Danio rerio: one gene and its partner. The protein of the gene in region 2 interacts with the protein of the main gene of each other region in a pairwise test. Links are inferred from orthologs where the notes say so. Each region holds a gene or a part of one and is shown on either strand. Other genes may lie near its edges.

The links.
Region 1: the proteins of max (region 2) and mgaa interact in binary tests that used the Homo sapiens proteins (3 or more experiments, as listed by UniProt). The link is inferred for Danio rerio from reciprocal best matches to the Homo sapiens genes MAX and MGA.

What each region holds. Positions count from the first base shown.
Region 1 is NC_133192.1:11,779,210-11,782,040, reverse strand, and holds the end of mgaa (MAX dimerization protein MGA a), read right to left. Parts: coding exon 2,030-2,831; 3' UTR 647-2,029; downstream 1-646. UniProt on the Homo sapiens protein: Functions as a dual-specificity transcription factor, regulating the expression of both MAX-network and T-box family target genes. Functions as a repressor or an activator.
Region 2 is NC_133195.1:31,569,176-31,572,836, forward strand, and holds the end of max (protein max), read right to left. Parts: intron 3,351-3,661; coding exon 3,243-3,350; intron 1,878-3,242; coding exon of another isoform or gene 1,863-1,877; coding exon 1,739-1,862; intron 1,665-1,738; coding exon 1,477-1,664; 3' UTR 277-1,476; downstream 1-276. UniProt on the Homo sapiens protein: Transcription regulator. Forms a sequence-specific DNA-binding protein complex with MYC or MAD which recognizes the core sequence 5'-CAC[GA]TG-3'. The MYC:MAX complex is a transcriptional activator, whereas the MAD:MAX complex is a repressor.

The DNA of each region.
Region 1 (2,831 bases), on a different chromosome or scaffold from region 2:
GTCCATAAAAGACAAAAGATATGGAGGATGAGATGTACTTGCGGTTGGACGGACAGTCCATGTATGGAACCAAAGGAAGGGCCAGATCATTGGAGTAGGTGCAGTTCTTTGCCCAAGCCCAAGAAATGTTGTTTACTGCCGACATGTCTTCGGCTCGGTCTATATCATTTGTAAATTTAAAAAAAGGTAAAGTTAGATATCTACCTCTTGTAAATAATTCATCATTTTGGTTTCGATGAAGTCAACAGAGTTTCAGGATCATTTAACATAAAGCCAATGATGCAATAAACAATAGACGTACCTTACCTTGAGAAATCTGAAAGAGGTTTGGGTACACCTGATTGTCGACTGCTTTATATCAACTCTGATTCTTCTTGGAAGTACATACGTATTCTCTTTGGGGAGTTGGTTGCAAGGTAATGACCATCAGTTGATAATTAGCCATTTGTGAAATTCTCTGATGTCTGTATCCGATTTAAAATGACTTCTGAATCTTTAAGGTATTTATTAATGTCTGAACTATTTGTAAAGCTATCCTAAAAGTAACATATACCCAAGTACAATGTAGAGATATGCTTTTTATTTAAGATTAAAACCATTTGTAACCTAAAAAACAGAAGCATTAATGTAGATGCGAGAAAAACTATATTTTCACAGACTTTATTGACATATCCATTGCTTTTACAAAGGTGAGAGAGCACTGATTAATAGCATATAAAAATAAGTATTTTAACAGACAGTTTTCAGACTAACAAAAGGAATAATTTTACATATTTACAACATTCAAGAAGAGTTCCCTTGCCAATATACAGGGTTTTACCAAGCTAACTTATTTACAAAATATAACAGTTTAGCATTAAATATGCAGGAAAGACCATAGCATCTTGTTTTAATGAAATTATGCAGTGTTGTTTTCGATATCTGTCTTGTCTGAATCTAAAGCAAAACAGTTGCATAGTGAGAACTTTATATATATATTCAAGCTTAAAATGAGGAATCTAACCGTCTCGCTGGTAGTGTTACACTTAAATGTTAAAACCCTTTGAAACGTGTAATTTATTCTAAAGAGGAGAAGGGTGAAGCAAGAACAGGTTTTCACATCTAAAACGTTCAAATGCCAGAAACACTCAAACCTTCCTGATTTCTTTTTAAAGCAAACAAAAAGACAAAATAATTAAAACAGCAGTAGTAACACCTCAAAAACCGCAGCAAATACTAAAGCTGATATAAAGTTTTTCTTGTATTCCTATGTTCTCATTACTATTCCTGGTATACTAATACAATAAAACCTTTCTATGGTCCAATATGCATACAGAAGAACCTTTTGAAAGGCACTCAACATAAAATATAAACTTTTAATGTATATACCCAACTTCTGAAAGAATAGTATGTTGTTCCAGAAAGGTTTAACAGGTATTATTGCCTTAACATGCATTCAATGGGCTTAACAGACAGTGATGTTTTAGCTAGATGTAAAGACAATGGCATTTGAGTAATCTCATTAGCAGATAAAGTCACGGGTGAAACCACTTTACTAATAAAAGTCACTGGGTAAATTTAATTATTCCTAAAAAGGTCACCCGGAAAAAACGCCCTCCTACTCCAGCGGAAACAACTGTTATCCGTTCACCTTGATGGCGCTAAGGGAGTAACAATCTTATGTTTAAAGATCAAGTAACTTTTTATTTTTAATGAGCTCCAGTGGGAAATAAACAACAAGCTCCAATATGGAGGGTAGAATGAGTTAACGGCTTCTTTCGACTATCGCCACAAAGAGTGGATATACAAGAGGACAATTCAATTGACGTCTTGCCGGTCAAGTATGTTGAGAATAAACAAAAAAATAACGCCAAAATTATAAAGTAAAACTGACTAAACGTCTTTGGATATCCCAGAGGCACAATATGTGGTGCCCATGGCAGCACGTCTTACACAGCAAACAAAAAAAATAAATACATATAAAAACACATCCTATTTTGTACATTAAACAACATGAGCAGCAGCTGTACCTGATTCAATGATTGGTAGATCACATTTGTGGTGTATCTTGCTCACTTGAGTCCAGATTGGGGATTGAGGGATTGATTACCTTACCAGCATCTTGAGCCTTCAACCCTAGAGGAACCAGTTTAGGCATAGGCCGCCATGTCACACTGGTTCCCTCATTGGCAGATTGGCCTGATGCAGCTTCATATGCAGCTTTCATGTGCAACAGAGGTGGGGGAGTAAGTCCATCACCTGTAGCATTGCATGTTGATGCATGTGGGCTTGAAGCATTTGTTGACTGTGCAACCCCGGATTCAGATGAAACCGAAGGGGAATCTGACCCAAAGATAACTTTGACCAGGTCATCCACTTTGGGTGGGATATCGATTTCATCTTTAGAGTCTGGGGACATCAGATCTTCATCTAGAGTTAAGAACAAAGGACTTAGAGCTCGGTCGTCTGCCGGTTCTTGATCTTCCGGTTTGTCAGAACAAGACTGTACATCACCTGGCACGGCAATTCTCTCATCTTCATCCTCATTAGTCAACTGTTGGCTAAGAAGAACAAGTTCATCCAGCAAAGACAGTAAATTTTCATCCTCAGGATCATCGCTGTCATCGGGACTCTTATTCTCCGGCACTTCTGGGTTGGACTTGGGTACAGATGCACCTTTCTGATCTTCTACGACTGATTGTTTGGGTACATTCGTGGATGGAGCCTCATCAGTCTTTTGCTCCAAATCTGGAATTTTGTCATTGGAAGAATTCTGCTGATTGTCCACAGATGTTGGCTGTGCTTGGAAAACAGGTTTATCTTCCACAACTTTCCGTGGTACTACTAGATTC
Region 2 (3,661 bases):
CACCGAAAATAGGTTATGCTATTTAATGGACCCTCTCCTTTTTGTGGCTTCAGTCATTGTTGAAATAATCTTAAATCTGGAAGCATTAGCTTATAGTGAAATATATATCGTTAACGTTCAATATGGAAAATAGTTATTGCACTGTCATATCGCTCAGCCCTAATGTGAAGCCAATGTGGTTTTCTCTAAAAGACACAAAAAAGTCAGTTTTGGACAACGAGAGGCCTACAGTCTAAATGACTGGGAACCACTGGTATACAGGAAGCACACAGCATATGTAAAGGATAAAATAGTTTTATTTATATTCTCAATGTAAAGGTAGGCCTCAACTTGCAAGACAACTGTTGGCAGTATGTACAACATACCTGTAATTTCCATGGAATGGAATCAGACAAAGAAAGACCTACTCTGTTCTACTAATGTCCTAAGAGGAAAATATGGTAAAAGATATACACACGCGCGCACGCACGCACGCACACACACGCCTCCTAGACACTCAAAATGCAACTTTCGCAGTGTGCAGCGGTCAAATTTCCAATGAACATTTAGAACATTTACCTTTAAAAGTCACGACATGAATCTACTCTTTCAATATTGACTATCTTTTGTGGAGGGGAAACATTATTTGGAACGTTTACATTCCCAATATGGAGTGAAATACATAAAATACATGTTTGGGAGGCTCAGATGACAGATGCACAATATATGCTTCATCATCACTTTTTAAACCCATTTTTTTTTAGAAAGAAAAAAATCTTTTTCCCCCCATCTTGTAAACTTCACTACATCAGGCTAAAACAACAAATACAACACAAGCTCAGCAGCCTTCCCCAAAAGCATGTTGATTTTCTTTTTTTCTTTGTTTTTTTTTAAATAAGGGATTTTATCGATAATGTCAAACTGTATCACTCATCCCATAGGTCTAACAAGGGGGTACATTGATAGATGCTTCAAAAACATTCCTTTATGGAAAAAGTAACAAATATTTAGAAAGGCAAATCACTCAGGACAATTTATCTAAGGGTAGGTTCTAAGCAGGCTTTAAGATATTCAACAAAAACGTATATTTTAGCAGTGCTAGGAGTTGTACGCCTCATTCGCCCTCTGGGATTTCAACCTGGAGGGATTGTAGACAAGGGTACAAAAACCAAAACAAAAAAACAAAGCATCATGTCCTTAAGTTGCAAAGCTGCCTCATTTTGGGTTTAAAATCATCGTTTGTTGTTGCGTGCGCCAGGACGCAAGATGGACGAACACAGTCGGAGAGGGAGAGAGAGTAAAAACAAGCCTTGTTTTCTCCTCCTTTAGCAGACGTCCCTCGCTCTCGAGTTTCTTCTGGTGTAGAATCGACATTCACTTAAAAGAGATTGATCATCAAGGTGGTTTGGGGAGATTGAGGTACACAAAATACAACATGAAACAGGCCATTGCTGTGACTCTCCCTCCCCTCAGAGGAGAACTTTGTGGATCCAGGGTTTAGCTATCCTCCGGGCGATGCTTCTTCCGGGTGCGCTGTTCCTCCGGCTCGGACTCGGAGCTGGAATCAGACCCGCCGTCGAAGGCCGACACGGCGCTGCCCTTGGGGTTGGTGTACAGGCTGCTGTCTGAAGACGAGTAGTTGGCCTGAAGCTGCGTGGTCCCTTTGACTTTCTCCAGTGCCCGTACTGGAAATTAAACAGATGGCATGTTTTGGATGTGGTACGAGGGAACTGCAAAATGTTCAAGGAATTACACATACCTTGTTGCTCCAGCAGGGCGTTCTGCCTCTTCAGGTCGTCGATGTCCTGCTGGTGTGTGTGGTTTTTCCGTCGCATGTACTGGATGTATTCTGTGGCTTTGTCTAGGATTTGAGCTCGGGATGCCTGTTTGATAGATTGCTGTCAGCAACAAATGAAAAACTAGAATTTGACGCACGGAATGCAGTTTTATTGCACACACATGAACCTTAAAGTCATTTCATTCAAATAATCACAACTGAAAGCACACAACTTGAGGGATAGTTCATCCAAAAATCTTACATTCTTGTTTTCATGTCTGGTTATCAACATTCTTCCCAACATCTCCATTTTTTAGAGCATAGGTCTCAAGCTAAATTCCTAGAGGGCCGCAGCTCTGCAGTTTTGTTCCAACCCTATCAAACACAGCTGATCCATCTAATGAACGTGTTCATGACTCTTTTGAACACGTAGATTATTTGTATTAGCTGTGTTTGTTTGAAAGCGTTGGAGCAAAACTGCAGAGCTGCGGCCATCCAGGAATTGAATTTGAGTCCTGTTTTAGAGCTTTAACAGAAGCAGCAAGTTTTGGATAACCCAAGGGCGGGCAAAGGAGGAATACATTTTTATTTTTGGATGAACTTTGCCCTAAACTCTGTCTTATATACAATAAGAATTAATGCAAAAGAATTACAAGCAAATATTTTTAAAAATACTAAAAACTTTAATTTAATTGCTTATCTAAATTAAATTCATGCATTTTAATATAAATGTACATTATTCATTTTGACAATAGCTATACAATCCAAGTCATTATTTAGTGTTTATAAAGATACACCACTGCAGCAGCATGACTACCTTAATCTACATGTAAAAATGTAGCACAGCTAAACATCCAACAATCAAGCAATGCCTTGTCTATGTAATATTTAAAACTTCGTATAACCAGTAATTCTCAAATTGATCACCACTATTATAAAATTGTCCATCTTCCTCATTTATAAGTCACTTTAGATATAATGTCTCCTGAATACATGTAAATTATTATCAGCTGATAACCAATACAAGCAAGCATCCCTACTCTTATGACTTGAGTAAATTTTCATAGACTAAAATCGAACTCAAACCTGACACTTTTGCATAAACAGCATAAATAAACATGGCTCTATCCTAAGGGTCAAACAACAAGAATCTTGAGGCCTCTGTTTCAGACATGAGACACAAGAGGAAGGAGAAACCGCATTTCCCCCTGTAATGGCTTCCTGGCACCACGCCTGTACTTGGATCACATCAATCAGTCTGGATCTACAGTGCGCTTAATTCTCCTAACACTTTTCACTCACACCTCCACTCAACTTCAATCATATTGGAAATGCCACATTAACCATGTTGTAAAAGCAATTTAAACAGTCAAAAATGCAACCATTTCAGCATAAAATAGACCTTTCATTGTCAAGCAGAACACAAAACAAACATCCTTTATGTCTACTTGTGTTCCTCATGCTTTTACCAATGACATTCACCAACCTTTTCCCCTTGCAATGCAGGAACAGAATCCCGAAGGCTGTGAAAGCTGTCTTTGATGTGGTCCCTACGTTTGCGCTCCAGCGCATTGTGGTGTGCCCGTTTGTCTGCCTGCAAAAAGAGAATCACAGCGGCTTCAGCCTCTTCACTTGTCATAGTGCCATCTGATAATAATGTTAATAATAAGGAAACATTTACTGTTTAACATTTTTAAAATTTTTATTATAGATATTAAAATCTCAAAAACTTTATTTTTTTTTTGCTGTTGACTAAAAGGCCGAAAATCTAGCTACTTTGGGTTTACATACAGTCCATTTGATGAGAATTTAATCATTATCACAGTAAAAAAATACATGCAACAAGCCAATTATTCTGAGTGAGAACTTAAAATAAATTCAGTGTGCGCTAGTGTTGTCACAATA